Arabidopsis thaliana: one gene and its partners. The protein of the gene in region 1 interacts with the protein of each later gene in a pairwise test. Each region holds a gene or a part of one and is shown on either strand. Other genes may lie near its edges. The genes, in order: BZO2H1, ABI3, RR18 and bZIP2.

Region 1 (7,876 bases):
ATTGTTGTTGTTGGTTTTGTCCGAAATTCATGTGACCTTGTCTTCCACTTCTGTTGTATTGATCCCACATTATTTGTTCTTCCATTAACAATCTTTGTTTTTTCTCCATATCATTCATTTGCACGTATGCTGGTGGGGCTACCTCTAGCGACGCCGCGAATGGATCCACCATCACCGGACTATTTCTGTTTCCATTGGCTGTCGGTGGCGGCGCTGGCAATGCCAACATCGAGGCTGCATCATCATTTAGATCAGATTCATTGAACTGACTCTCATGAAACTAAGATAAAAATTGAAAAATGATTTCATTTTAAATTTGTTTTACCTGCTGGGCTTCCTGCAGAACCAAAAGCCACACTACTAGCACTTCCACTACTTCCATAAGCCGTAGACGTTTTAACCGCAGCATTAACCGCACCGTACTGATACATTCCATCAAGCAACAAAGTATCAAATCCTCCTCCGAGCTCACTCTTTTGTCCCGACAATCTTGTCGCCGATCTCACCAAGTCCGTCTCCCAATCCGCCGAATTATCGTTAAACGCTTCCCACCCCGGTCCAGACGCACTCTCGGTCCCAACGACACCATCAAATAACGCTAACGCCAAACTATCACCAACCGTTCCTGCCGTTACACCCGCTTCATCTGTTAAATCCAGCAAATCACCCTCTTGATCTTGTCTTGAAACCACTTCTTCAACATCTTTCTTTGTTTCCATTTTCTCTTCTTCTTCCTCTTCTTCTTTCTGTTCCGGTGCGGGTAATGCTTTGATGGAGTTTAAATCTTCTTGATTTTCTTGAATATACTCTGTTTTGCTCTCCTCCTCCTCAGATTTGTTAGACCTTTTTGATGATGATTTTGTTGTTTGTGCAGCTAAAGCTGATTTATCTCTTATAAACTCATCCATGAGATCAAGTTTCTTCTGTGTAATCTTTTCCAATTCTGGATACTCTGAAGATCTTGCAACTGCCATGTTCTTACACCATCCGTAAAACGGATCTAACTCGTCAAACTGTTTAGAAACTCGACAGAAGATTTCATAGACTTTGATGGAATCATGAATGTCTAATTCCATGAATCGCTCTATTAATACTCCCATGATCTCTGTTATATTGTAGTATAACTGAAAACTCTCTTTTACTATCGGATACATAGCCACAATCACCACTCTGTTGTTCTTCGCATTACCTGTTGCAAAAGACCTAACTTATTAACCAAGAAATCCGAAAGTGGAAAAGCGTGTGTTCCAAGGAAATTAATTATTACCTGTTGGACGACAAGCCAAGAACCGATCAAGAAGCTGTTGTAAATGTTGTACTCTGTTGAAGATTTTCTCTGTTTTCATCTCTGCGACTGGTTTAGATTTAACCACAATAGCTTTCGACCGAATATCGTTGCTTGTCCCTCGATGATCATCTTCCTCGCCGGAATCACCATCACCGCCACCACCACCACCACTTTTTTTTTTCCCTCGTCTTCCTTGCATCCGGTAATCAAGACGTTCATCCAAATACAAAGCATAAGTCCGAACAAAAGCAGAGTAATCCCACGAATCAGACTGACTCGCATCTCTGAAATCAGACATGTTAAGCAATCTCGTTCCTCGTCTCGTCGCGAAGAAGATCTCTTGCTCGTAGGCTCTATCTCCATCTGTTAGCAACCGTTGGATCAAAATCAAGGTTTTGAGAGCAACCGACCAGTTCTTGGTCTTGTTGAGCCGTCGCGAGAGAGTTGCCACACAAGCGCTTACGTAATTGCGTGAGTAAGAAGTTAGGCATAAAATCTCTCTAATGTACTTGTCCTCCGCTGGATAGTCATCATGTCGCGTCGCTTTCACGACAGCTATTTCGAGTTCCGTTAAAGAACTGCTTCGACCACCGACTTTGGCTAATCCTACGCTTGTTTGATCTTTCACGGCTCCTATGGCACGTTTTAGCTTACTTGAACCCATTTTGACTTACGTACGCCGTTAAACAGAGGAAGAGAGAGGAGAAAAAAATTGGAAGAACGACGACTTTTTTCTTTCACTTGTTTGTCGTCGTCTCTTTTTCTCCTCTGTTTTTTTTTTTTGTGTTTTCTGACGAGAAAATGTGAATGCTTGATCGATCTACCATGGAAATCGCCGAGGTTGTCGGAATTTAATGATAGGGGAAATTAGTAAAGCCATGTGAGCTATCTTTTTTAAAATTGGATAAAAACAGATATACACTCTGTTATTAGCTATAAATAGAAAGACGATTCTCAAATAAGAATCTTGTAATGTTATAAGACAGAGCTTATATATATATATAAGCCATGAGACTGTATTTTCACAAGATGTTTTCTCATGATTCGTAACTTAATAACACTTACAAATTACAGATGCATAGACATTAATATAGTGCGAAACCCGCTTCTTGTTTGATCAGTCCACGCATTTTTTCGGCCTGTAAAATGAGCAAAAAAAGGGGAGACAGGAATCTGATATGTATAAACAGGGATCATAGTACTTCAAATGGTTTTAAATTGTTCAATGGTCTTAAAAGAAAGAGCCATGTTTTAGCTTACCATGCTGAATCGTTCTGAGGTTCGGTATTCCAGCCATACGGGTTGGCGCTTGGAGTAACATGGTGATTTTGCCCATTTCTAATTCTCTGCAAGGGAGAGCTGGTTTGGGATGGAGGAGCAGCGAAATTGTTTCCGAGTCTTGGAGGTAGAATGGTTGGGATCCCGATGTTTTGGTTTGACATATGGTTTAGGTTTGAGTGTGGTTGATAAGCTGGAATAATGCTAGAAGAATCCATCCTGTTGTTACCAGTTATTGGCATTCTGTTGTTGTTGTTATGTCCACTTGATCTTCCGAGAAGCATCGGATTCATTCCTGTTACTCTCTTCACGGTTTCTTCCGCCATTTTCACCTTAACATAACATGGGAGTTACTAAAACTGTATACAAAAAAAGGGTAGTTCAGAAAAAGGAGAGGAGGATAATACTTAAGTCTTCTTACCTTAGCTCTTAATGTCTCAATGTCAGCCTTTAGTATTCTATTGCCAACAGCAGCCTCGTCATACTTGTGATTCATGTTGCTCAGTTGTTTAAGAAGTGATGAATGCTCACCTTTTAGATCATTAACCTATCAAAATACAAATTAGGTCTCATTAATATCCTTCAACACAAAAATGAGGTGTTGAGAGGATACAACACAAAACCTGTGTTTCGAGGTCACTTGTTTGCTCCTGCTTTCTCCTTCTAGATCGCCTAGCTGACTCACGATTTGACAGCATCCTACAAATATTAAAAGGAAGAACAAGGCTCTATAAATGTAATCTTCAAACGACAAGAAATTGGAGAAAAAGTAATGATTACCTTCTAGATTTTTTAACGTCCTCTGGCTTCAAGGAACCGGTGGTTTCATTCTCTTCATCAAGGTCCTCGTCATCAGAATATTCTCTCGACGATCCACTAGTAACCTGCTTCATTGATACACCAGTTTTTTTCACCTCAGCTGGTAAGGAAGAAGTAACACCAAGTTCTCCTGGGGTCATCAAAGAACCTACCACGATTAAAACTTACTATGTCTAAGACTCAGAAGAGATATCTGAAAGAGAAAGACGAGCGCTGAAATAATGATTTCCCATATATTGAACTAACCACCAGAACTCATCTCAATCCCAAGCTTATTGTTCTTCCAGAAAGCAGTTTAATTTCAATGAGAAAGTCAGTCACAAAAAGATTGAAACTTGACGGATAAAACTAGGCGCTTGATCCAACAAAAGTACCATTTTCTATTTCTAATTCCTTAACCTAGGCATCTAAATTAACAAACACAGAACAGAGAAACGAATCTGCAGGTTTATCATCGCTCATCTATCCTGGTGAAACTAAGAAGAGACTCTTACCTTGAGTAAGAGGACTGGATTGAACTGGTTGAAGTTGAGTTTCTGGAGAACTAGTCGAATCTTCAGGCTTCACAGACCCAACCTAAGAAGAGAACATCAGAGCTTCAGATTTAGATCAAAACGCACAAATTACACATATAGATAAGAAAAATAGAAGATTAACAACACACCCGAAGAGAAACAACAGTAGCGCACTCAGTCTCAAGCTTGTTCTTAAGAACACGACGATAATCATCGGAATCAACAATCACCGTCTTCGTCGTCATGGGAGCAGCACAATCCAAATTTCCCGAATCGCGATCACGAAATCGACTATCATCCTCGAAATCATTCTGTCCGGAAACAGAAGGAAGAGATTGCGCCGAAGAAACACCGACGATCGCGTTGTTGTTGTTACCAAGTGGCTCAGAGCTCACCGCCGACGAAGAAATCTCTTCGAGAAACATCTCGAAAGTCCATTCCGGTTGACTCTGGCTAACTTCATCCGCCGTAACAGGCTTAGAAGAGTCGGGATTGAGAGGAATCGGAGGAGTTTCCCAGAAAGGATCGGAGAAATCGTCAATGGAGAAGATACTGTTCATCGCTCGCTCTCTTTTTCACTTTCTGATTCTTCTTTTTTTGTCGGTACTTTGCCTATTTGCATTTAGGTCCACCCACACAAGTATATTCTCTTTTTTTATTACGTACAATAAAATAAACATTTTTTCTTACACATTTCTGTTTTATTTCTTTACAATATTCTTTGAATAGTTTTTATAATTTAAATATCTATTGTATAACGTCCACTAATGTTTACATGAAAAAACGTAACAGTTTTTGCAAACATTGTTATTTAATTATTCTTCAAAGTTTGATTTATTCAATGAACAACGAAGTTGACATAAAACATTAGATTATATTTTAATTTATAAAAAAATACTATATTATACTGGTCATTAAAAATTTATAAAATGTCACCAGAAGCTAAACAAATAAATCACTAAGCTATATTACAAATTTACAATAGACAAGCCTAAATTATAAAAAAAAAATATATGGAGTTTTTTAAAAATCTAAATTTACCACAAAAAGCTTCTAAAAATAATTAACGAACTAGATCATTTTTTCGCGCCATATGTAAATTTAAACAGTCATTTTCAATTTTCATATATATGGAATTTACTCTCTATTTCTTTTTGACCTTAACATAGTGTCACCAATACCACAAATCACCACTATGTAGGCTATATTACAATAGAGAACGAACCAAAAGAATACAAAAAAACAAACCATATATATATTTTTCAAGCAATCCCCAGTTTTAATTATTGCAAAATTACAAGAATCTACACACATTTTTTTTTTTTTTGTGAAAGGGCTAAGAATCTACACACATAAATATACACACACAAGAAAAAACTTCTAAAAATAGTAATACAAAATTATAATGCCAAAGCTTCTTTCTTTTTTACTAGTTCTGCTTATTCTCCAAAGCTAATTGGTCATTGTTGATCAGAACAGAATTACCACTCTCATCCTCTGATTCATTCACATTTGTCTTCCTCCGCGGTGACCTTCCCTGTTCTATTCCTCCTCCTCCTCCTCCAGAGTTTCTCCGATCATCTTTAGAGACCAAGTCCTCAGCTTCAAGCATATGAATGATATGACCCATTTTTGGCCTCTTTTGAGCATTAGGATCAACACATCTTAAAGCTACCAAAAGGGTACGCTTCAATGACCTTAACGACGGTTTATCAACCATCCTCGGATCCAAAACTCCTTCCGCATCTCGATTCGTCACCAATCTCTTCAACCATTCCACAAGATTCACTTCTCCCGGAGCCCGGCTATAATCCACAGGACTTCTCCCTGAAATAATCTCCATAACAAGAACACCGAAGCTATAAACATCGCTCCTCTCATTCAACATTCCGGTACTCGCGTATTCAGGAGCCACATACCCAAACGTACCCATCACACGAGTAGTCACATAGCTCATCTCCGAACCCAAGAGCTTAGCTAACCCAAAGTCAGAAACTTTCGAGTTCCATTGCTTGTCAAGCAAGATATTACTCGATTTAATATCTCGGTGAACAACTTTAGGCTCAAGACCTTCGTGTAAATACATTAACCCTTTGGCTGTTCCAAGAACAATGTTCATCCTAATCTCCCAAGTAAGAGGACTCTTAAACCCCAAACCACCACCATGAATCCATTGTTCTAAATTCCCATTATCAACATACTCGTAAACTAACATCCTATGAGCTCCTTCAACGCAATAACCAAGCAATCTCACCAGATTCTTGTGTCTTACGCGTCCAATAGCTTCGACTTCGACTTTAAATTCTTTCTCAGCTTGTCCTCTGTTGTTGAGCAGATTCTTTATAGCCACCATTGATTTATCCTCAAGAACACCTCTATACACAATCCCATAACCTCCTTGTCCAATCACATTCTCGTCAGCAAATCCATTAGTAGAAACCTCAAGCTCTCTCAACGTATACCAATGTCCCCAACCTAAATGAGAAACCTCAGGACCCGACAACATAAGTAAACCCTGATCACCCGACCCGGACCCAGACCCGGAACCAGTCCAACCTCCTCGTTCCGGGTACGCAATCCGATGATCTTTACCAATTTCGATGTGAATTTTGTTATCGTCTTCTCTTTGTTGGTTTTGGTGTGGCTCCGGTGTTGGGTCGGGTTGAATTGGAGGTCGAATCTCTTGAATCTCCTTGGAAACAACGGGAACAATCGTATGGTTAGATTTAGAAGAAGACTCAAGAGATTTGTTCTTGTTGCTTCGTCGGTAAATGAACCAGAGAGAGATGAGAACGAGTAAAAGAACGATCGCGGCTCCAACGCAAACGCCGAGAACAACCCATAAACGTAAACCAAAAATGGAAGTGTGTCTCGAGAGCTGATTGTTGACTGAGTGAGAATCCGCCATTGCAGCTCACTGACTCTTCTTCTTCTTCTTCTTCCTCTGACTCTCTCTTTTTGCTTTTGTTCTGCTTCACATATAATAATCATCACAGGAGGTTTTTCTGAAGTAGAGACAAGAAAAGAGATGTCGAAAAGACAAACGTACCCTCGAAGAGGCAAGCTGGCTTTGATGGGACTTGCACTCATCATTATTTTTAGTATATATTTACACTTTTGCCACTTTTACTGTTAATGAGCAATTATTAAAGGAGGGTAGTATCGTTATTAAAGGTATAGTCAGGGGTAATATTGTCAATTGAATCGTGTTCTGAACAAGTTTTTTTTTTGCGCGTGGTCTTTGGTTGTGATTTACACAAATCTATCTATCAAATCAAATCGAAGAAGGAGAGAAGAACAGAGAAAAAGAGGTAATGAGTAAAATCTATGAGCTTTTGCTTTATCTTCGAATCTAAGATCAGGAATTGATCAGGGTTTTTACCCAATTTCGATAATTGTCTTCTTCGCTGGATTGATTTTTGTTCTGGAATTGTTTATCGTGTGTAGTTGAATCAAATATGGCTGGGAGAGCTACGATCCCTGCTCGCAACTCTGCCCTCATCGCAATGATCGCCGATGAGGTAAATTCGTTACCAAAAAACTCATCTTTTTATATGTTGATGAAGGATTTGAGGTTCCATTAGTTTGATTCTTTAGATAATTTTGATTTTTCATTTGGATCTTCTGTGTTGAGTTTTGAATCTCTGAGATGTGATCTGAACTAAATCAATGCGTTGTTTGTATAGATTTATTTATCCGTAAACTGCTTGACTTTTTGGATTTGTTTGTGGAATTTTTAATCTTTTTGGTAGTGATTCAAGCCTTAGAATAGCTTTGTCCGTAGTTCTGTGTATTTCTTGATTTGGGATCAGACCAAATCTGCAGATGATCTGATCTGCTATTACTGAATTTTGATTTCAGCACGAATCAGGAAACTAAGGAGTAGAAATCTTCCTAGAAACTGTATTAACATTGAATAACAAGAGGTTTAGGTTTTTTAATGTTAGTCTTCACAACTGTTCTGGCTTAACAATTG
Region 2 (9,623 bases), on another chromosome or scaffold:
TTGTTTTATTGTTGGATCAAACACGCTCAATTTTTTTTGCGTAGTATTTTTTGGCATAGAAAAATAGAAGGCTTGAATGGTAGTAGTTTATACTTTATAGCATAGTTATTGGTTTTCCAAAAACCCATTTAATTATCCAATCAAGATTAGAGTTCGCATTTTTGTAAACAAAATGAAAAATAAATCCCACTTTAATGAGTTTTTGATAATTGTTTGCAGATTTCTTTTTGTAATTTTAAATCAATATTTTTTCCTTTTGGCAAAATCTATAATCCAAAACCACTTAAAAACTCAAATATTCATGGCCAAAAGTTGTTTTCTTAAACCTAAGCATATATAGATAGGAAAACAATTTCTAATATACTGTATTTTACAATGGACTAGTAAAAGTTTATGAATGATGTGAAAACAATTAGATATACTGAGTCACAGCAGACTAAAAAAAAATTTTTTTGTTGAAATAGATATCAAGTTTGGCTTTTAGTAATATAGAAGTGTCTGAATTTGGTTAAAAAATAATCATAGATAAAGAAATTTATAAAAGGCATCTGATGGTTACTTTGATTCTAATTGACACTTTTGTTCCAAACATTTGTTACAAGTCGGGAAAATTATTTATTGTTGTATACCTCTAAGGTGGCTACACCATTTCGAAATTCAATCCTTTTGGAAAATGAAAAAAATATCTATACATTTTTTTTTTTTGAACAACAAAAAATATCTATACATGTCGATCATATATTCATATGTAGAAAAAGGCATATATTGATGATAATAAGACCACATAATTAGAGCAATATATGTTCTCCAGATATAAATCTCATGCAACTTTATAGAAGAAGAAGTTAGAAACATGAGGAGTCCTTGATTAGATTACTGAGACAACTATGTATGTCACGTCTTTATCAACATCTGAAACTATTCAACTACCACGCTGCTCCTTTTGTAATCAACTTCACTTTCATAAGATCAGATTATTTCATCAACTCCACTTTCTTTTTTGTTTCTCATAGTCTCATTATAAGTCTTTTGTTTTCAAGTTGTCAACCGTCTCACGGCTTTCTAGTAGGGCCTGAATGGAGAAAGGTGTGGTGTGGATATTTGGCACGGGTCAGATCATTGTTTTTTTGAATATCTCAATTCCTTAGGTGCGGTCCAGTTTTTGGGTTTAACCAAAAATAAGAAAGAATAATGATGTATCACAAACAACACACTTATATGAGGAAAATTATAATCCTACCTCACTTGTTTTTTTCCTCCAAAGATTTTCGTTACTCAATAATACAAAGGGTTCAAGCTAACTAGATAAACAAGAAAATGATAGAATCAAAGTGGTAAGGAACAACTCTTCTTAAAATGTCCATATGTAAACATTCTATTTACAAATATTTACAATGTGAATATGTGAATGATATGGATAATTTTGTACATATGTCCATATGTACATTAATTATCATTTTGTACATTAATTATCATTAATTATCATTTTTACTATCATTAAATTGTCCATATGTCCATATTTACAAATAATTTTGTACATTGATAATGATAATTAATGTACAAAATTAATTATCTCAATTCCTTCTTAAATTGTCCATATGTCCATATTTACAAATAATTTTGTACATTAATTATCATTTTTATTATCATTATCAATGTTTGTGTAAAAATATTGTATCATTCAACTCTTCTTAAAACATTCACATTATAAACGATATGTAAGCTCGACTCAAGAAATGAGCCACATATGTAATATTAACCAATTACAACAACAAAAGAACTATATAATCATCTCTCCAGAAATATAACACAAACACCATTTCCAGAATTAATCATCTCTACAATATCCTGAAGGTAAAAAGAGTAAAGAGTTATAAAAGAACCGACTCGACAAGAAAAAGCAAAAAATGGAGTAAAAACCCGGACCCCGACCAAACAGCTTTAATCATGACCCTCCATTTGTCTTCAAGATCCCATGCATGCACGAGAAGTGGCACACTCGGGTACGCTGCCATTTTTTCCTTTTGCCCTCTTTCTTATTTGGTACATAATAATATTTATATTGTTTCTTTTTGTCTCTGTTTTTCATTTAACAGTTTGAGAAGTTGGTGAAGCGACCACCACATTCGCCGACGGAGAGTTATTGTTTATGTTCCTTTGCGACTTGTTTTGTCTCTTCGTAGCTGCTGACGACGGTGGGGCCTCCGGCTTTTGTCCGCTCGGTTGTCTTACTTTAACCCCTCGTATCAACTGTCATAATATTATTCTCAATTAATTATGACAAGATAAATACCAACAAAAGTAATGATGAGAGTTAAATACTAATGAAAAGTATAGAAAAATATTGTGATGCTTCTCTTACATATTTGCCACATTTGACGTCGGAGTATATGACTATGAAATCACCTTCTTGGAGCCCATTGGTTTTCACAAAATCGCCTGTAAACGTAATTTCAAGGAAAATTAGATATGTATGCGTCCACAACAATAATTACAAGAGAACAAACAAACCAAAAGAAAGGAAAATTATTAACGGGTACATTTTCAAAAACGTACCGGTGTTCTCGAGGAGATACATCCTGCTTTTGTTGTTAGGCCAAAACCTGCAAAACCAATTTAAGAAGACAATTAAATAACCGAAAAAACATTTTGGTCGAGTTCCAATTTTTGACAAAATACACGAATTGTTTTTATAAAAAGAATCAATGTTAACATGTTAGCATCATAATCAGTTACCTGTAGCGCATGTTCCAAACACGAGAGGTTCCGATGTCTTCCATGGCCAGAGAGATGCCGTCTCTTGCCTCTAGCTCCGGCAAGTGTGTCTCAGCTTCTTTCTAAAAAAAATAAAAATTCAGTAAAATATAACTTAACCAATAAGAGTAAAAATAAAATAAAAACTTGACAATATTTTTACACAAACATTGAACCTTTTTTAGAAAATGGAAAGCAAAGGCTACAAGAAATTAGAAGAAAAATTACTTTTGGCAAAACGATCCTTCCGAGGTTACCCACGTCGCTTTGCTTCAAGACTTTCTGCAAGAGAAACCGCAAATTCTTTTCTGGTTTCCATCCCTAAAATCAAACCAAAAAGATCAAAATCATTTCATTTCCATTGCAAATGTATAATCTTCCGATTCACATTTTATCAAAAAAAACACATGTAAAATCTTTAGCTTCTTCATCAAACCAAACGAGTGGTGCAATTACACAAACTATTCGAGTATTGCTAAATTAAAGAATAAACAATGAGAAAGATGATTGTGCATGTCTACCTGCCGGCGATCTGGTACCACCTGCTGACGTGGCATAGCAGAAGCTGAGCCAGCTCGGTCCATGGTAGGTAACTGAGTCTCCATCACTGGCGGTAATTGAGGCGGCACTGCCGGGACATTAGGCCAATACATCCAGGTCCCTCCCGTGGCGGTTGTGGCCACGGGGTTAAGTTGTGGAGCCACCGCGGCACAGGTTTCTCCGATTTGGGTTTGGTTCTGCTGATTATTGTTGTTGTTGTTGTTGTTGTTGTTATGTCTGTGGTGATGAGACAAGAACCTCCTCTGTCTCGCCATCCGTTTCTTTCTTGCCTCTTTAGTTGCTGAGGAACACAAACGGAGTAATCTCTGATCTCTCATTTGTCCTGCAGGAACATAAGGATATTGGTACGGATTCATGTTGTATCCATTGAAACCTGTTGGATCTCCAAATTGATTATACTGCGAGGTTGGCGGCATGGGGAATTGTTGATGTGGCATGGGACCAGACTGTGGTGGTGGTGGCCATGACGGTGGAGATTCAAGTAAAGGAAGGAACTCTGGCTGTGGCGGATAGTTTGGAGCAGGCATGTATCCAAAACCCGGGTCCGAGACAAAAGCTTGTTGTTGTGGTGGTGGAGGAACCCATGTTGAAGGTGAGAAACAGGTTTGGTCGGACGGTGGGATTAGGTTGTTGTTATTAGGGTTAGGGTTTTGAAATGGATCTTGTTGGAATGATTGTTGATAAGAGAGGTTGGTGGTGGTGGTGGTGGTGCGTCTTCTTTGTAAGTGATTAGTTTGGACCCATTCAAGAATCAGCTTTAAAAGCTGCTTCATCGCTTCTTTACCACCGCCTAGTCTTCTTGCCGCTGATTCAATCGTAGCTTTCTTTATCTTTACTTTCCTCAAATCCTCAGCCGACACAGTCTCCTTGTTGTTCTTTAGCCACTCCAAAAACACAGCAGCGAGATCATCGTCCTGTTCCAAGGAAGAATTCATCATTTGCATGTCTCCACCACTGTTATTCTCCATCATCGGAACAACGACCTGGTCTTCTTGTCTCTCAAGGGTTTGGTCCATCAAGTTAGGGTTTTGCGTGTCGTCGTCTTGGCTAAATATAGCTGAGGTGTCAAAGAACTCGTTGCTATCAAGTAGATCCATGTACCCGAAAGTCTCCATCATATCAATGCAATCACCACCGCCTTCGCCGCAACCAAAACCTTGACTGCTGTCTAATGGAATCTCCATGGAAGCTGTGGATTGCAATGCACCAGAAGAGTCGTCACAGTTTCCTGATGCGTATTGGTTTTGGTTTGGAGTCGGATCTTCTCCATCTGATCTCAATATAGCCCAAGAAGCAGCTGAGGAAGTGGAGGAAGAAGCTGCCGAAGAAGAAGAGGCTGAGGAGACGATTGCGTTGACAGGAGCTGGAGATGTTGAAGACGATGATGAAGACGACATGCATGGGAAATCAGGAAGCGTTGGGAGATCTCCATAGAAGATTGAAGGGTCATGATGAACAATCAAATCATCATCTTGATGACCATGAACATGATTATTATCTCCTCCATGGTCATCTAACCAGATCTCTCTACCAACTTCATCAATTCCATCCATCAAAACAGTATCATCAGCGTCTCCACCGAGTATTCCACAATCCTCAGCCAGATCTCCGGCGTTGGCCGCCACATGCAAGCTTTTCATCGTTGAAGTGGAAATGAAACAATAAACTAGATTGGTGGAGAGAGAAAAGTTAGGGTTTTTAGTATTTTGTACGGACAGATAGGGTTTGTATGTGAGTAAGGAGGCAAGGAAAAAGAAAGTTAACCCAACTTGGCTATCATCGAATCTTTAAACAACATAAACTATCTGGCTATACATATACATATAAACCTTCTATACTACTATATAATCTTTTGAGATTCAAAAAGAACTCTTGATAAGGTTAAAATTATACAAAAGAGACGAAGGAGGATCCAAAGCATATGAAAAGATCCGACCTAAGCTAACTATTTTCTCCAACTTCAGATGAACAAAGACCAATTGTAAAGAGGTCTAAAATTTTCGAGTCTAGATCTGAAGTATACGAGATGTGTTTTGTTCACAAAGATTGGTCTTTGGTTCTAATAGAACAGAGAGAGATGTTTAGGTTTTACTCTTTTAGAGAGGAAGAACTGATGAACAGCTAATAAGTAATCTAAAACCGTTTGGGTTTACTCCAACAAGAAGACTCTCTCTTTCTTTCATTTTATAAATTATGGAGAGATGGTATATATATATTTATAAAACTATATAATAAACATGGTTAAATCCCTCAAAAAAGAAAATAAATTAAAATAAGAGAGCCCATGTGTTCCAGTTTGTTCCATGATTTATATGGAAGTTTTTTTTTTACTAATATAATTCAATTGTATTGTATAAAATATGTTAGATTAAACTGAACTCTTTTTTTTTTCTGGCGGTAAGTGTAATTTTGGGTTTAAGTTATTCTCTTTCTCTTTGCAGCATTCAATTACCTCAGCAGAAGGAAAAGGAGAGAGACAAGAGTTTTTAAGAAAAAGAGATGTAACAGTTTTTCAGCATTTGATTTTTCAAAGAAGACAAAAAGCAAACGTTTAAATTTGTGGCACTATTGACAAAATTGTTGAGCTCATAATACTTACAAACATTTAAAATTTTATTTAGATAGTAAATCTCCCCTCATCTTCTAAGAAATAAAAACAAAGTTCCTCGAGAGAAAGACATTGGTTTTGAAATTAAATGGTGCAAAAAGCCATATTTAAGTCGATAAAAAAACTTAAAAACAAAGAGAAAATAGAAGTCTCCTCGTGCCGCTAGTATCTAAAGGTTGGTACAGGAGTTTGTGCCCACGAGCCATACGTTCGAATTTGAGTGGTGAGACCAAGCGGTGGTTCTTAAACACTTCTTTTGTATAAAATATTATAAATTTTCCAATTATCAACTTTCTACTTCCTATGTGCAAATGGTCACTTTTACAAAAGTAAGTTTCCTCGGTCGGTTTTAAATTATCTGGCCAAAAAGATTCGAAAAACTTACACTTTCCTATTGAAGTGGAAGAGGCAGACACGGATTTTATTACCCTAGAACAATTACTTTAACATATTGTAGAACAATGTATGTTTTTGTGAGTTTTTTTTCTTCTTCTTTCTTTTCTTTTTTCTGCATGAGGAAAACAAAACAAAACTTTTAGTGTATTTGTAAAATATTTAGTTACAAACAGGGTTCGACCTTGCCTTCAAAATGAGATTGAGCAGATCATGTGATACCTGTTGTAGAAAGAAATAGGTACTTGTATTTATTACATTTTAACACATCAAAATTTTAGTGTATTTTTTTTTCTTGGGAAAATTCCTATTTTCCCGATTACATTTTAACACATCAAAATAGGTACTGTGTTTTATAAATCTGAACAAACAATTAGTAATGTTCATACTTTAACATTTAAAAAATTCAAATTATCTACCTCAACTCTTACTTTTGTACATAATTATGAGTCAACGTTAGTTATGGTAATTAACAGTAACGGTTGTTGAATCAGCTAACACTTGTACGTCGAGATGGCATGTTCTTCAAACCAAATGACGTTGTTTTACGTTTTGAGATTCAAAAGTTTTAAAGGTTACCATTACCATCATGCACGAACATCATCAATATATAAATAATAATTTATAGATATATACACATACATAAATTGGAATTAAAATTAATCATATAACGTCGGTTAGGATTTCCCCAATTCTAAATGACATTGTTTGATTAATTTAATTCCAATTTGTTGCTATATATCTATAAATTATTATTTATGTCTCGATAATGTTTGTGGATACGATGGTGATGAATATGTGAGGTTGGGGGTTCCAGTTTTTCGGTTTAGTTTTTTAAAAGTAAATATTTTTAATCCCAAAACATAAAACAAAATTATTTTATTAAAAAACATGCCACCTAAACGTACACGTATCAATTGAGTCAACAACCGTTACAGTTGACTAATATTTGTTAATATTGACTTGTAATTACGTACAAAAGTAAACGTTGAGATAGATAATTTGATTTTTGTAAGCATTGATGTATATATCAGTACTAGTCGTTTGTTGAAATTCAAAAACATACTTTAAAAATTGTTGGGATCGAAAAACCCTTTTTCTTTAGTTTAAAATGAAATCTAAAATGTTAGAAAACCAATTGTAAAAGAACATGTGAACTTTGTTTTACTATGCGTACTACAAGGAATACAATTTAAATCAAAATTTAGGTACATTAATCATCGGATCGTCTATGATACAATTGATAGTGAACAAATCAAAATAAAATTAGTTATGGGATTATTTGCTTTACCAAATAGTATTAACATTAGTCACAAGAGGGTGATAATCTAATAGTTTGCCGTATTTTCCTAAACTCTAATGAAAGTTTCATGTCTTTTCAAATAAGTTATAATAAATGTAGTTAAATTTTATGGTCTTGATCCATAAAGTGATGTAAAATCAGTGTAAACTACTCGAAAATAACAAAAATATTTTAAAACATCTATTATTTTCCCAAATTTATTTGGAAGGATTTTAAATTCCCAAAAATATCTATGAAAATAAAAAAATTTAAATTTGAGTATTGATGACGAGAAAAGGATTTATGTAACATAATTTAATCTTGGCTCCAAATAATTTATGGTTTTCAGCCTATTTAATAAAATTAGAAAAGGTTCAATTATATTAGAAAACAAATAAATTAGTGGTATTATTATTTGTTGTGTTTGTGTATTTGGACGATGAAAAATATTGTACACTAAAAATTGAAAATTTTATTTGGAACAAAACTAGGCAAAAAATTAATATATATATATATATATATGATATTTGTGACTTAATTTATTTAATATATATCCGTCCGTAACTAATGTATCTTTTTTGCAAATTTTGGAGATTTGACTAAAACTTTAACATCAACTAAAAGAAAAAAAAGAAAAAAAAAACTAAGAATAAAAAGCATTATTCATTTTAAACTTTTTCTTTAATTTTTAATAGTTCCAGCATCTTCAAGTTTTTTTTGTTTTTTCTTTTCTTTCTAAACTCTATTATAAAATAATATTTTTGTCAGCATCACTATATGTTTTACTCTAAAATAGAGTAAGTAATAGAATTATTGTCTATTTAGAGCATCTATATTCTCTATTCTAGTTTTTGAATCTAATTCTATCCTAGAGTAAATATATAAATTAATATATTGGAGAAACTATGCTTTAGTTTAAAATAGAAAATAGAAATATATTAAAGATGGTGTAACTAAATCGATAAAAAGAAATTTGTTAATAGATTTAATTATAGCACATATATATTGACATATATCACGATTATTCACATGTACTTCAATAAATTGGATCAAGCAAATAACAAAACCGATCTAATCTTACATACAAATTATCAAACTCTAATTTAGAGTCATACGTACATCACCAACCTTTATCTTCTTCGTTCAAATATTTCATTTTCTACGAACAACCAAAATTAGTAAAGACAGAGAGAAAGAGAGAGATTGGTTGCACATGCAAACAAAGAAGCCTTTCGTCACCATTCGTGGTTTTAAGCGGCGGGTTGTCTTCATATGCTGCCACGTGTCAGCATTTCTGACTTCAAAGCAATCTTTATCCCTTGTCCGCCAATAACTACGTTTTACTTCTTCTTTTTGTTTTTTTCTTCGTCGACCTCTTTCTCTCGTGTGACACAACATCTAACAACTAAAACCACAAATATCGTATTTTAGGTCGTATCTAGTTAGATGAGAACGTATCTAGTAAAACTTAACATGTTTTTGTCCATGATCAGGGAAATTATAGTAAGGCATCAAATACAAAAGTTTTAGGTTAAGAAATAGAAGATCAGTACATATGCGTACGCATACGCATATGCAAAGTTATAAACATAATCTCTATAATATATAGATTATGTTTCTTGTGTGCTAAAACTCATTATATATTATTACACAATTTGTTTTTTCCGTTAACGACTAATATAGCTACACGTAAACCCTTCCGTAAAGAAAAAAAAATCTGCGGCTTATCTTAGCCTTTAGTTTTGTCCAATTACAGGCAGCCACGACAAGTTTCGTATTTTTACTCTTTCCTTTTGTTATTATTTTTGATAGTATATAGTTGCATTAAAAATTATATCGTAATATCTTTAATAATGCTTGTCTTCTTTTGGATTTTTGTCAAGTCTTCTTCGGTAACTATGGTGTATAAATAAATATGTGCTATTTATAAAAAGTATCATAAATATATACTTGTGTCAGCAGAAAAGTTTTAGTATTTCCCTCAATTAGACTAGCTCTTTTTGTGTGGTTGTGACGTAACTGGTG
Region 3 (8,082 bases), on another chromosome or scaffold:
AAACTGTAGTTATATTAAGCTCAGTTAGGTGGACATTAGAATCCAATCGAATGATTCATTCTTCATGAATTAATTTTAGTAGCCCCCATTGTTTTATGACCATGTTGGATTTTGAGTGATTTGATCTTAAATTGATTTTGGGATTGTCCCGTATTTGTAATCTTCAGGACCCAGCAGAGGCTGATAAGCTGTTGAAAATCCAGAGGGAGTTGGATGAGACAAAGATTATCCTTGTAAGTGCTGTCTCCGGTCCTTTCTTGTAGACCCTTATACATAAGCGGTACTTCCTTTTCTAAGTTTCAGTATACTTGCCAATTATACATAAATGCTGTTCTGTCGGTGAGTTTACTTTCTTCTGAAAAACACCAAAACAAGAAGAAAGTCTTGGTAGTTATGATGGATGTCCCTGTCTCCGTAAGACTGATTTTTTGTTCTGTATTGTAGCATAAAACCATTGATAGTGTTCTAGCCCGTGGTGAGAAGCTGGACAGCCTAGTGGAGAAGAGCTCAGATTTGAGCATGGCATCACAGGTAACATTCTAAAGTCACATTCTAGAAATTCTTATAGATTTAGTTTCCTTTTTTCCCTGTCTCGATCTCTGAGCATAGTTGGTGAACACGTTAGAAAGGGTTGTTGATTTAGCAGGCTTATAAGTGTTGTTGATTGATAGAGGAACTATTGCATGTTATTGTTGGGGTAGATAAATAGAGGAAGAATGTGGATTTAGAATACCTTCTTTGAAAAAGCTTTCTGCTTCAGCCTGCAGACATTTGAGTGCAGTTTGAACTATACAGTTGGATTTTGGAATTATTAGGTTTGCTACGAAGAATCATAGTGTTTTTTGCTATATCATCTGACCATGGGGAGGAACATATGTATTAGTCATATCCTCTGGAATCTCAAGATATTCTTCGTTATTTAGATTAGGTAAACCATGTTTACTTCCAACATGAAAATCTGATTTGGTTGTATTGGTTGGAACAGATGTTTTACAAGCAAGCGAAGAAAACAAATTCATGCTGTACTATTCTGTGAGCTGGAAGTCCTGCTGGGTATATAGTCAACCAAACTTTTGCTGGGGGGAGACTGTTTTTTCTATCGTCTTATCTATACATATAATTCCGTCTGTAGTTTGCATGCATTATTTTGATTCCATAAGTCTCGAGTCGTGTGGTGTGTTTATCCAAATACATAATGTCAACTTCTGCAAGATTTGAATTGTCTTTCCCAGATTTGATCTGATTGAATTTGTGTGCGCTTCCTTATGGTAAAAGAGACGACTTTGCATAACTAGATGAAGATGTCGTAAATAGACAAAAGCAGATGATGGAAGATAACTAGAGTAGACAAAGGGGGTAGTATATTACACAGACAAAAGGATCAAAGAGGTGAAACAAAGTCTTTGTGTGCCGTGTAATCTATTTGCCGAAGAGAGATTTGAACCACCAAACGCCCTTGGAGTCTTCAGGGGCAGTGTTGGACTCAGGTGGTGTGTCACTCTGAGGAGTCTTGTGAAGCTTGCTGATGTCATAACCTTCCTCCACTGCCTTCTCCACCAGCTGCTTATACGTCTCTTCCTCCATTTGCGCCGTCCTGCTCAATATCTACACCACCCACATATACAGAGTCAATCATTTTTGGGATCAATTTCGATTATTCGTTAAAGAGAAAAAAAAAAGAGTACCAACCCAGAGATAACTCCTGGAAGGCTGGCCAATGAGAGCGTGCTGGTAGTCAGGATCGATGTAGAGCACCCAGTAGTCTCCGGTGACGGGAATGATTGGGAGGAAAGGAGGGACATAGAACTTGACTTTGAGCTTGGCTTCGTCGCTTTTAGGATCGGCCTTATAGGCGCTGCCTTCGATAAAACCCCTCTTCCCGTTGCTCCACGTTTCGTTCAAGACGTGTATGGTACCGTCGGGGTTAAGGGTGTAGGTGGCGCGAGTGTCGACGCCGTTCTTTGGCTGAAACCTTGATGGGAAAGAAGCAATCTCGTACCAACGGCCCATGTATCTCTCCACGTTGAGCCCTTTCACCACTTCCATCTCTTTCTTCTCTGTCATTTCTCTTCTTTTTCTTTTCTTCTTCTCTAAGATTTCGATGTTTTCTTTGAGGTAAAAGGATAAGAAGAGATTCTGTTCTTTATAAGGAAATAAAAAAATAATATCAAGGAGATTTCGCTGGGACGAGAGGATGCCACGTGGAAAGCGTGTAGGGCAAGGGTTCTAGTAGCGTCTAGCAGTTACAAATGTGAATAAAGGTGGAGGACACAAATGTCTTCCTTGTTCTGTGGGAAGAAGGATACAATACAATGGGCCATACAGTCACATTTTGATTTGACTTCCTCTAGCCGTTTCTAGGCCCCACCAAATTATCCTATCGACATCTAAATATCTCTTCTTGTTGACACTTCAAAATAGCTCCATATGTAAACCAACGATCTCAATTAGGCCCATTACTATTCGTATATTGGTTTTGAATAACAACACTTATTCAGAAACTTTATAAAATAAATTTTTGTAACAGGCTCGCTTTCAATTCCAATTCATAAAAGAGAGTATGAAACAGGTTGGTGTACTATGATCTATTGACAGTCGGAGGAAACAATGTGGGAAGAAATTTAAAAAAATCACATGAAAATGGTCTCAAGTGGAGAAACTTAATGCAACTGGTAGAGAAAGAGATGACTAGCTAAGGTGGAGGAAATGAATCAAAGCCAAATCTAGTAGCCACTGGCACCATTCCGTTATTCTCCTCCTGCAACAAACACATTCACTTTCATTTTCTACAAACTACAAAAGCTTTTAATCCAATCAAGAAAACAACCGCGTTACCTGTTTCATCATCTCATTCATTATGTCATCGAATACATCATGCTGGTTGTCATTCTCTGGCTTTCCCGACTTCATCTCTGGATCCAGCATTGTAGTAGCTTTTCCAACATACTCTTGACTGTTGTCTATTGGGTTCATCAGTGACTCATCCAAGCCTTTGCTTCTGGTTGAATTGTTGTCTCTGAAAACCATGTTATCTGCGGGTAGAGGATACTCAATGTTACCGAATGGATTGTTCAGCATGGTGCAGTTCTGTTGCTCCCATTTCTGTCCGCCTAACGGATTCACGTTCTGCATGAAGCCGCCAAGTAATTGAGGATCACACTGCATCTCTCCACCAGGATTCTCTGCAGAAACCAAAGAAGTACAATCTCCCAGATTGTTCCCTGCACATGTCACTTGATCCGGCAAGAAAGCAAGATTTAGTGGTAAGGAACTCGGTGGGAATCTGGTTGTGTTCAAATTCCCTTGCCAGCTATGACCAGGAAATCTAGATAAGCCTTGGAAACTGATGTTTGGGGAGGCAGAGTTGGACGGAGTTCCCTCGATGCAAGGCTGAATTCCATCTGAGGCTATATGCAGGGGTTGTGTATAGTTTGCTTGCAACATTAGAGGATTGGTGGAAGCACTTGGTAAAGAGGTGCTAGAGCTACCAAATGGCATACAAGTATCTAGGAAGCTACCGCCAATAGCTCTGTCCCCTAAGCCTTTAAAATCTCCAATGTATGACTTGCTTCTAGGAAACTGGAGGGGTTCTAGTGGAGATGAAGTTCGCTGAAACAGATTCACGTTCTGGATTCTTGGTGACAGAGTACTGTGATATGTTCCAAACGGATTAGCTGAATTGCTTGAGTTCTGGTGATGCCCCTGTTGGATGAAGCTGGAGGAGTTCATTCCTTGGAGATTTATCGATGAATACATAGGGGGTTGGAGTTTGGTGAGATGGGAACGCGATAAGAGTCCTGAGCTTGGAATTTGTCTTGCGGCAGTAAAATCTCTAAGTCCATCAAGTTGAGCCATCTGAAAGTAAGATGAATCTCTTGTTCCAAATGCATCTGGGGTCATATTTTGCTGCTGACCTTCGTCTATCTTTTTCAAGTACAGTCTGTACTTCTGCAACCAAAACCAGAGAATAAAACAAGTCTAACCATCCAAGATTATATTTGCGAAAGAAGGGGAAAAATGCAAGAGAGAATGGGGAATTAGTACCTGCAAATGACTGGCTACGTTTTCCCTAGTGAGACCTTCTATACTCATGAGATCAAGTATTTTTTTGGGAACAGCCTCTGTGATGAACACAAGGAGAAATGAAAAGAGGATCCCACACATGAAAGCATCAAAATAACTCTATAGGAGAAACAAGAGTGGACATCACACATAAGGAAAGGTTTAAAGAGGTCTATGGGGAAACTCACTGTCGAGGCCCAATTGCTGAACGGCACTGACAAACTTCTGGTGAAGCTCCTGAGACCAAACAACACGTGGCTTCTTCCGCGTACCTGACCCGTCACCATCCTGTTCACTCCCCTCACCATCATCCTCTTCTCTGTCACTGTCATCTTCATCACCACTGTCATTGACTTTGTCTTTCCGTTTCCTGCTGGCGCTTGGGACGGAATCAGATTCAGAAGGTGGGAGCAGTTTTGCGTAAGATTTAATGTTCTTCTTCACAACATGATGCCATATATTCTGAAGCTCCTTGAGTCCAACAGGCTTGACCAGATAATCGCAAGCGCCATGTATAATACCTTTCATAACGCTGTCATAGTCGCTATGAGCTGACAACACTGAGACAATGAAGCAGGTTACAATAAGGGCTAGAGTTGATATGAAAAACAATGGTAGGAGACGTACTGATGACAGGAAGGTCCATTTCAAGACCAATTTCAAGCAACTTAAAACCATCCGTGTCTGGCATCTCTACATCGCTTATCACCAGATCAAACATGTTGCTGTTTTCTCTCAGCATTTCCAGAGCTTTCCTCGACTCCATTGTCTTTGTCACTGGCGTAATCAATCAAACATCATTGACCATGCACCCCAATTCCGAAGCAGACAGGTAAAAAAAAACAAAAGCAAAGAATATGTAGTACCATGATACTTGCAACGAAGCAGCAACTCTTCGAGTTTCCGAAGGCAGGTTGGATTGTCATCCACAGCAAGAACCCTCATTCCTACAGGAAACTTGTCATGCCTTCCATCTTCAGTGCTTCCAAACTCCATATTTGATGCAATACGTTTGCAAGTCTCCTCTCTTCAAAGGAATATAGTACATAGACTAAAATCTGATCTGTTTTATTCTTAAAACCTCAAGTTTGGGACTAGAAGAAGACCATAGTCCTCCTATAGACAAATGTAAAAAGATAAAGACGAGTGGCCCAAAAGAGAGAGTGATTACGCGGTTAATCTGGCCCTTAATTCTCCAAATAATTAGAAATTTCCTTCTGTTTCTGCTCATATTTCCATAAATGAGGACGTGGAGAGAGTCACATGTTCCTCTAATTTCTCTTTTGTTGGTTGAATCTTGCCTTATCTGAGCACAAAAGACAAACTTTTCGTAAAGTGAATGTAAATGTCCCCATTTTGTTTCCTTACTCGCAAATAAACGTTCAAACCCAACGTTTCAACCTTTCCTGGCTTTCCTTATATATATGCATTTCCTATTTTCCATAGAAATGTTTTTCCTTTTTAGTCTTCTAAGTGAATGCACCAAAACAAAACAAAAAAAATCTGATTTTTGACATAACGCGTATGGTCTCAGTTCCAAAAAAAAAGAGAATTCGACAAATGCAATGGACTGACCTGATCACATTCAGGCATTCGAATCCGTCGACTCTTATTACTCCACATTCTTAGTCAATCGTCATACTTGTGATTACTCTGCCATTTTCTTGATTATTCTATCTGAAATCACAACCAATGTGAAAACTGCGTCACAGATGATTGTTGCTGATGAGTCTCCAACAGTCTTAACTTTATCCATCACCAAACCCTTGGAACTATGCACCACTCCAAAAAATAGTCTTTGATCTGATTTCCACTACCACAGAGACTTATTTTCCAGTTTCCTTCCATTTGAAGAAATCGACAACTCTGTGATCTTCTTATACTCAGATTATTATTACCATTCGATTTCTTCAAATGGAAGGAAACTGGAAATAAGTCTCTGTGGTAGTGGAAATCAGATCAAAGACTATTTTTTGGAGTGGTGCATAGTGCCAATTGGACTCAAAGATTAAGAAATTAGATAATCGTCTCCTAGTTTCCTATCTAGAAGAACGAGAGCAAGGAGAAAGGGAAACTTCATATGAAGAATTGGAAGTTGTACAAATCTGTAGTACTATAGATGTCTAAAACAACAAAAGGACAGTCTCTCCAGCATTTATGAAACAGAGCTCCAGGGAGAAAGAGAGCGCAATAGACTTTCCCAACTACTATAGTACAAATTCAAATGCTCATTTGGGCCTGATTTATTGAACATGGCAATATGGCATTGTTTTAAGGTCAGTTTGGTCCCAGAAAACAGCTCTAATAATCACTTGGTCTAAGGAAGAGAAATCAGAATTCAAGAAGAAAAAAAAATAGTTCAAGCCATCACACAGAATTACAAATTGACAAGAAGAAACCATCAAAAAATAGAGACTGCGATGGCTGCCACCATCAGTAGTGGGAAAAAGAACCCGTGTTCCCGGGCTGCCCCACCGTAGTAAGGTTCTATCATAATCGGAAATCTGCAAGTTCCAGTAGATGGATCTGTCTTGGTCACCTCTGATATGTTTGGGAACTTACAAGCTGTATCAAGCTGATCCTGTATCTGATAATAACTGTTGAATGCATACGATATGTTTTGTTTCCCGTCAAGATTAGCACAGGACGTCCCAACCCCAAGACTAGTACAGTCCCCAAGGCTACACGCGTAGCTCACGGCTGGAGCTACCTGCGGATCATCCAACCTCACATTTGGCTTCATCACACACCACTTCCTCTCTAGGTAGCGTACCCCTTTGGCCTGGATCAGAGCTCCTGTGTTCGTTGTCCCTAGGTTCAAGGCATATTTTGGTAAGCCGTCAAATGTGAATATCCCCCAGTGTCGCTCAAAGTATCCTGGCTGAACACTCTTGGCGTCCTCGTCTATCAAGCTGAACAGGTATGCATCGATAGGGCCAGGTCTCCTCGGAGTCCCTTTCCCCCCTGAGATGTGAGCCATAAAGCCTTGGTTGAACTTCTTAGCGTAGTCCAAATTCGCATTACTGTCCCCATCAGTAGGCCAACCAATTTCCCCAATAATGATAGGCATGTTACCAAACCCATTCTTCTCCAACGCGTGGACTAGGGTGTCGTAATTTGCATCAAACATGTTGTAATAAAAAGTCCCACCATCGTTCAGGGGCTGTGCATTGCCGTCAAAGAAGGCGTAATCAACTGGGAAATCGGGGTTGGTGTAAAGACTGATGTAAGGGTAGATGTTAACAGTGAAAGGACCGCCATTTTCGCTCAAGAACTTGACGATAGTGATCATGAGGTCACGGATATTGGCCCTGAAGTCCCCTCCAGAAGGAAAAGTGGTGGAGCTGTCATAGACATCAGCGTTCAAGGGACAAGTGACCTTCACTTGGTTCTGAAGGCCAGCCTTTATAATTGCAATTTGGATGTTCCTCAACGCAGGGAAAGTAGTACTCAGATAGCTCCCATTATAAGTAGACAAGAAAGGTTCATTCCCAACAGCCACATATCTGTCCAACAACCAAATCACAGCATCAATTTAGCACCTACTCTAGAGATTTGTGTAGAATTATCTCAGAAAAAGACAGTAGCCCGTAATTTCAGGCATGGCTAGTAACTGTTTAGGGAATCCAAACTCAGTCACTGATTCCAATTAACCAGCTAGTACAGTACAAATGTGAAACCCTAATAAAGGAAAGAAACAGAGGAAGTACCTGATGTTGACGTTGTCGGTGGAGATGTGAGTAGAGACATTTTTAGCAACCCATTTCTCAGCAGCTTTCAGGCTAGAGGCGAGAGTCGCAAGCATCTCATTGGGAATACCAACCATGACTTCGATTCCGGATTTGCCCAAAGCTCTGAGAGTGTCGTATTCGGCGTCAAAGAGCTTTACTTTCTGAATACCATTCTCTCTTAGCATCCGCACAACTATGTCCGGTGGAAGTGGGTGCGACGCCTGTGTGCCCCAGTTAGCTCCGATTGAACTTGCCCTCTGACAAAGAAGAGCCACCGCCAGTAATAGCA
Region 4 (6,786 bases), on another chromosome or scaffold:
AAATTCTATTTGACATCTCATTTTTTACCAATTTTAAATTAATTAAGAAATTAATTTTCTTAAAAAAGGAATGGTCCAATTTAAGGTCTGACCTATGGGCTGTGGTTGCATGCAGTGACTTTACTTTTTTAATTTTATTTTAACAGTTACTTTTTTCCTCATATTTCCACTATTCGCTTCTCTTTCTCAAAGTTGGAAGCTAACAATTTGTGACTCATTACGCAGCCCATTTTTTGTAGACTTTTTATAAAACCTTGTCTAATACTATTATACAAGAGTCAAGACTAATTTTTGTGAATAAATATATTGACTCTCAGGTAAAATTAGGTATGTATTCTGTTGTAAGCGTTTTAAATGTTCAATCACTTAAAACGATAAAAATCTAGGAGAAATTTTCTCTTTTTATTTTTGGTATTCAAGTATTTTCTTCTGAAGTTATCGCATCCGTGAACAGTACTAGAAATCTACATTATAATGTTGCTTAATGCCTATATATTACTATTAACATGACCATACATGCAGATTTTAATTATATCTAATTTGCAAAGTGGATATGCTAGTGGTACTTTCACAAATCTTAACAAAGAATTGAACCATTCGAACATTAAACAAAATGTTTTAAAGGAGTGTTATGCCATATTTTGATGGCCCCTTCCGACCTAACTTTGCATTGTCTTAACTTTATTATCATGAAAACCTAGTTAGTATATTTTTCCATTGTTAAAACTTGATACGTAAACCGGGACGTCATTCATTAAAGCAAAACACTTAAAACTTGAATATATAACAATAATACAATTTCTGACAAAGAAAGATTCCCCGAATACATGGTGGAGAATTAAATTGTGGGAAATATTTTAAAACCGTACTTTTCTTTAAATACCAGAAAATATTTACAAAGCCTTTTTTAAAGAAATTTTATTTAAAAAAGATTGTGATGGTTTTTTGGAAAATAAAAATTATATTCTATAATTTTCGTCTTAAATTAATAAATTTACTAATTTGTATATCTTTTTTTTATAATGTATTTTACATATCTTTCTAAATAAACTTATGTTTGAGTGATTTTACCTAACACTAATGGCCAATTAGAAATTAGTCGTCATTTCATCATCGATTAGGGACTGATTTTGATAGATTATCAATATTTTATACAATTAAAAAATGGCTATGAAGTTCCAGAAGAGATGAGCTATATGGACCCATGTGCTTATTGTCCCCTGCATCTGCTTAGAGGTTAAGTGTTAATCACCTTTATTTATATATGTTTAATACTTAATTATTTTTCTTTCGCCAATCTCATAATTAATTAGGTTTAAATTAAAACTGGAACTTTGACGTGTATTAAGAGCCGCTCATTGAGAACATGGATTGTGCAATGCACGTGGTTTCGTACGGTGCAGATCTACAAAAGAGATTCTGCGTCAAAGACGGTGTCGTGCACTGTTGTTGTCTAAATTTTGTAGGCGGTGAAATTATGAAAGTTGTCTACTAACGGTAACTAAATTAACTACCAACGGTAAATAAATTTTGTCTCAGGTGAAGGGAAATTATTAAATTTGTCTAGCCTTTTTACCCGCTATAAGTTACTATTCAGCGTGGGACGAAAAAAAAAAAAATTACTACTCAGCGTGGTGTGCCGACATAAAAATAATTACTCGTGTAAAAGAAAATAAAAACTATGAAATACTTGAAGTCGTACTATTAAATTATAATTTCCTTGGTTAATATCATCGCTGTATCAAAATTTAGATTTAAAATATGATCAATGATATAATTTAAAATATATATATAACGTATGATAAAACGATCAACTTACATTGTTAAGTGTTTCTAGAGCATTTTAAAAACATATTCTATAATTTCATATATAACATTTTGTTCATAAAACTTAGGTAAATTTGATCTCGAATCTTTAAAACAACCAAAATATTGTCCACAAAAATTCGGTGTAATATTGAAGGTTGTTGTTGTTCATGTTCTTGATTACTTTTCAATTCTCTACATTTTTACATATTGTTTCATTTAGAAAAGGAGTTGGTTGAATTGTGGTTTATCACTTAATTTTTATTATTTATATGTAATTTATTTTTAATATAAGGTTTTATTAATTAATTTGCCTGTAGTATTGTTTTAATGTATGTTTATAGTTATTCATCAAACAATTGTGATCAATATAAAGATTATCCGACCGTTAGACTCGTCACAGGAAATTTTTCTGAAGTTGAATTTCAAAAGCTCAAACAATTAAAACGCGTAATGATAAGTGTTGTAAAATGTTATAGAATTAAATTTAAAATTGTAAACAAAAAGATATACAAATAAAGAAATGATGTTGATGATGATAGTGCTTTATTTTCTTATATTTTTTGTGTGTCTTTACCAATAAGAAAAGAATAATCCATTTTTATAGATATGAAAATTTAGTAAATCAATTGAAATTATTACAAATGATGTAGTGTAGTTATTTTGAAAATGGAGTAAACATTATCTGTAGAATATGAATTAATGATACGTGTTACATGTATTAGACATTCATTGGATTTGTAACAATTTATAAATAATTAGAAACATACTTCAGATTTATCTCTTATAACTATATTATAACTTTTTCTAACAATTTGTGACAGTTTTCGTTTCATTTTAGTTCTTACCTTCAGTAAGATCAGCTTTTATTTTGTGTTAAACAAATTCAACAACTCGTACAAACACTTTATGAGACTTTTCAATAATTAAGACGAACAACAATGATCTAGTACACACAAATTAGATACTAACATTTTTAGTTCGAAATCATTTACTAAATTCAAAATTTTGATATCAATCACATGGCTCGAAATTACTGTATTAGATTGAAATATCAGAGCACATATCAATCCCACAAATCCTCATGAATTTACTTAATCCACATACTTTAAATTTTATTTTTAAATATTCTATATTTTCTTAAAATGTTGGCTGAAATAATGTTTTACAAAATTTTATTTCGTTGGAAAATTATTAAATTTATCACCTTCCTATTTGATATCACTTTTAATTCACCAATTGTATGTATCAAAATATTCAAAGCCATTGACTGAATTAATGGCAACAAAAATTATCAAAGATTTTCTGTAATTCCTACATTGACTACATGCAATTTTCAAGACATTGACTATTTTCAATAGTTTTCACTCTTTTTAATCTTGATATCTGGTCAACTTTTACCACCTACCTATTTGTCTATCCTACTACATATCATTAATCACACCATTAAACCACACAAATCTATACTTACCATTAATATTTTTCTTTTGAATACCAAAAAAACAATCAAAAAGTAAAGTGTCATTACCAAAAAAATAAAAAAGCAACATCCACCTACTGACCTACATATTTTTTTTAATAAAATTATAATGAATCATTTTGTTAGTAAAAAATAAAAATGATAAAACAATGGGCGCGTAAACGATTCCAGCTTTCCCCACCATCCATTATTTCCCAAAAAATCAAAATAAATTAAAAAGACACAAGTGGATGCTTGAGATTTGGTTTCTATATAATCCATAACACACCCTTCATCAAAAACCTCTTTCCCATTCACTCATCTTCTCTTCCTTATCTCCTTAAAAATCTTCTGCTGTTTTCTTTTTTATATTTAGAGCTCCTCTGTTTCTTCTCCAATAACCAAAAAAAAAAAAAAACTCTTCCTCTGTTTGTTTTCAAGTTCTGACATCATAAATTCAGACCGAGAAAACATAAAAATTTGAGTCTTTTGATGATCGGAAACTGATGACTCCCGTTCTCTGCGAAATCCTGCTCTCTGGGCTCACGGTCAAATCTGCTCTCTGCCGTAGAACCCATCTCGTTCAATCTTTCTCCGTCGTCTTCCTCTACTGGTTTTACAACGTTTCATGAATTGCTACAAACTCTAATTAATTTTTTCAGACAGATCATAAAAAAAAACCAAACATAAAACATAAAACTCTGTCCTTTTTTTGTCTTCTTGTAACTTTTCTTGTTAAAAATCAATGGCGTCATCTAGCAGCACATACCGGAGCTCAAGCTCTTCCGACGGTGGTAATAATAACCCGTCGGACTCCGTCGTCACCGTCGACGAACGAAAACGTAAAAGAATGTTATCGAACAGAGAATCTGCACGTAGGTCAAGGATGCGTAAACAGAAACACGTTGATGATCTAACGGCTCAGATCAATCAGCTATCAAACGACAACCGTCAGATCTTGAACAGCCTCACCGTAACATCTCAGCTTTACATGAAGATCCAAGCCGAGAACTCTGTTCTCACCGCTCAGATGGAGGAGCTTAGCACCAGACTCCAATCTCTCAACGAGATCGTTGATCTTGTTCAATCCAACGGTGCAGGATTTGGTGTTGACCAGATCGACGGCTGTGGTTTTGATGATCGTACGGTTGGGATCGACGGATATTACGATGATATGAATATGATGAGTAATGTTAATCATTGGGGTGGTTCGGTTTACACTAACCAACCCATTATGGCTAATGATATCAATATGTATTGATTAATAAAATTAATTAAAATAATTAGATGCCCCTTTTTTGTCTTTTTATTTTAAAATTTAGCCCATTTTGGTGTTTTTGGGTTGGTGTGATGATGTAATTATAGTACATGCATCTTTGATTGGTTGGAAGGATAAATATAAACTTTATATATATATTGGGGCATATATATATGAGTTGTACTTTGTCATGTATTGGTGTGTGTTTTGTTATAATTATATGATTATATATGTTTATGTTATCATGATTTTGTCTTTCACCTTAATATTCCAATTGTTTATTCGGATAATGGTTTGTTTATGCTTCGAGAAAAGCAACTTTTTGGATTGGTAATTTTTAAGAATGAAAAAAATCACATTTTGGATTGATGATTATATATATATATATATATAAGCTGCATTTACAATTAAGTTTTGGTTTTTCTGCAAATAACAATAAAAAGGAACTTCTAGATAACATGTCAAATCTACCAAGTCAAATTTCACCTGTAATATAATTCGTTGTCAGCAACGTAAGTGCTAAATAATGATCAATTATATAACAAATAGAGTTCCTTGCGACTAGGAGAAATTTATCATAATGTATGTGAAAAATAAAAGATCTTCAAACATATATATGATGCTTATATGTTTAGAGGGTTTTGTTGCAAGAACCCATCATTTTAATATAAGATTATGGTTTTTTTAGTTAAAACACAGATGAGCAAATCTTAGGTGTATGATAATTATTTAGAAATGTATTAAAACCTTCGTCAGTCAAACATTTTTGCTTAAAAGTATCATTCATACAAAAGGACATAAATTTAAAATTCAATGATTTTTCCTTTTTTTCAAATGTAATAACACCAGTGATAAAGTTTATTGTACGAACGCAAAACGTTCATATTAATGATGGTATCTTGAAGATTTATTTGTATTTATTACATATGTGGCCAAGAAAACATATAACGTCAATTTAGTTTTATTGCTTTTGCATTTATCTTTTCTAAGAATCTCTATGAATATATTGTATTATAGATATATATTGTGTATATTATATAATCTATATTTTTTTTTTTAATATTAGATGTTTCAGGGTCAGGGCATATGAACGTAATCTATTCTTTTTTTTAAGAAAGCAAACTTTTTCCAACACGAATTTAATCCGTGACTTCAAACATTTCCATATTTACGGTACACTTGTATTATTGTGAGTGAATATGGTTTATGTTTATCCTTTATCTTTTTGAATCTTATTATATATAAAAAGGTTGGTGTTGTGTCTTTACGATTTTAATCTTAACTTTATGTTATATGAAGACATATATGAAAACGATATATAAACACCAACAAAATAAAAATAATCATTATTGGATGTCCTATTCTCTTCTCGTATATGTGAAGCTTTACACTTGCTGAAAATTATTGGCTGTTTCTTCTGATTTGTTCAATATATATATATATATATATATATATATATATATATAAATGATCTCATCACAAACGATGGGCTATTATTTTTCGTATATGACATGAGACAATTATTAGGTATGCCTATATATGAATGAGCACTTTTGTTTGTTTGCCTGTGTTAAAGATCCAGAAGAGTGTACTGATGGGTACACATGTGATTCATAAGCATTTCGCATTTTTCACCTCAATACACATAAATAAAACACTTTTGTACGCCTTTTTGAAATAAGATAACTTTTATGGAACAAAACAAAATGTAATAAAGCAACAAACAAGGATTATGGATAAATGACACATACAGTGTTGTATCTTCGATAATATTAAGTTCTACACCATGCCGTGGATAGTCCATGATTTAATACCGTTTTGTCGATATATTAGGGATGACTTACACACGTAAAATCAAAGAGTGATATGTTAAGGATGAGCACATGTAACATTGAAGAGCCTATGAGTTTTATTAGAGAGCGTTCACAATGAATTTTAGTGTTTGAGCTAGTTATTGATTCATTCTAAAGATAATTAGTTTTTGAGGATGTTAAAGATGAACACATAAAATCGGAGCGACTATGAGCCTTGGAGAGCTCACTTAGGGTTGTATTGTTTGAGACAGAGTTATTTTTTGTCTAAATATACTAAGAATTTTTGTTGTTTCCATTTTGGTTCATCACTATCTAAGTCTATTTAGCCCATATTGTTCTAAGGAACAATAGACTTAGATAGTGATGAATCAAAATGGAAACAACAAAAATTAATGAAGTTTAGACAAAAAATAATGTATTAATATATTCATAATTATGCTTTATTCAGC

The links.
Region 2: the proteins of BZO2H1 (region 1) and ABI3 interact in a two-hybrid assay, tested with the Arabidopsis thaliana proteins (one study listed by BioGRID).
Region 3: the proteins of BZO2H1 (region 1) and RR18 come close enough for resonance energy transfer, tested with the Arabidopsis thaliana proteins (one study listed by BioGRID).
Region 4: the proteins of BZO2H1 (region 1) and bZIP2 interact in binary tests that used the Arabidopsis thaliana proteins (3 or more experiments, as listed by UniProt).

Annotation. Positions count from the first base shown.
Region 1 is NC_003075.7:1,150,615-1,158,490, reverse strand, and holds BZO2H1 (bZIP transcription factor family protein), read right to left. Parts: upstream 4,538-7,876; 5' UTR 4,461-4,537; coding exon 4,050-4,460; intron 3,962-4,049; coding exon 3,880-3,961; intron 3,534-3,879; coding exon 3,347-3,533; intron 3,266-3,346; coding exon 3,190-3,265; intron 3,114-3,189; coding exon 2,988-3,113; intron 2,899-2,987; coding exon 2,549-2,898; coding exon of another isoform or gene 2,545-2,548; exon of another isoform or gene 2,428-2,544; coding exon 2,406-2,427; 3' UTR 2,135-2,405; downstream 1-2,134. Other genes in the region: AT4G02650 (ENTH/ANTH/VHS superfamily protein), read right to left, coding at 1-234, 326-1,189, 1,268-1,952; AT4G02630 (Protein kinase superfamily protein), read right to left, coding at 5,330-6,808; AT4G02620 (vacuolar ATPase subunit F family protein), read left to right, coding at 7,359-7,421. UniProt on the Arabidopsis thaliana protein: Transcription factor that binds to the C-box-like motif (5'-TGCTGACGTCA-3') and G-box-like motif (5'-CCACGTGGCC-3'), ABRE elements, of gene promoters. Binds to the 5'-ACGT-3' motif of seed storage protein (SSP) encoding gene promoters (e.g.
Region 2 is NC_003074.8:8,993,243-9,002,865, reverse strand, and holds ABI3 (AP2/B3-like transcriptional factor family protein), read right to left. Parts: upstream 5,497-9,623; 5' UTR 4,956-5,496; coding exon 3,276-4,955; intron 3,076-3,275; coding exon 2,983-3,075; intron 2,838-2,982; coding exon 2,737-2,837; intron 2,604-2,736; coding exon 2,557-2,603; intron 2,440-2,556; coding exon 2,363-2,439; intron 2,251-2,362; coding exon 2,086-2,250; 3' UTR 1,681-2,085; downstream 1-1,680. UniProt on the Arabidopsis thaliana protein: Participates in abscisic acid-regulated gene expression during seed development. Regulates the transcription of SGR1 and SGR2 that are involved in leaf and embryo degreening.
Region 3 is NC_003076.8:23,499,093-23,507,174, forward strand, and holds RR18 (response regulator 18), read right to left. Parts: upstream 5,078-8,082; 5' UTR 5,059-5,077; coding exon 4,929-5,058; intron 4,840-4,928; coding exon 4,690-4,839; intron 4,623-4,689; coding exon 4,251-4,622; intron 4,122-4,250; coding exon 4,045-4,121; intron 3,949-4,044; coding exon 2,836-3,948; intron 2,759-2,835; coding exon 2,693-2,758; 3' UTR 2,513-2,692; downstream 1-2,512. Other genes in the region: YKT61 (SNARE-like superfamily protein), read left to right, coding at 168-233, 445-531, 986-1,036; TIL (temperature-induced lipocalin), read right to left, coding at 1,420-1,605, 1,690-2,064; AT5G58090 (O-Glycosyl hydrolases family 17 protein), read right to left, coding at 6,464-7,568, 7,773-8,082. UniProt on the Arabidopsis thaliana protein: Transcriptional activator that binds specifically to the DNA sequence 5'-[AG]GATT-3'. Functions as a response regulator involved in His-to-Asp phosphorelay signal transduction system.
Region 4 is NC_003071.7:7,896,028-7,902,813, reverse strand, and holds bZIP2 (basic leucine-zipper 2), read left to right. Parts: upstream 1-3,571; 5' UTR 3,572-4,010; coding exon 4,011-4,526; 3' UTR 4,527-4,802; downstream 4,803-6,786. UniProt on the Arabidopsis thaliana protein: Transcription factor that binds to specific DNA sequences in target gene promoters. BZIP2-BZIP63-KIN10 complex binds to the ETFQO promoter to up-regulate its transcription.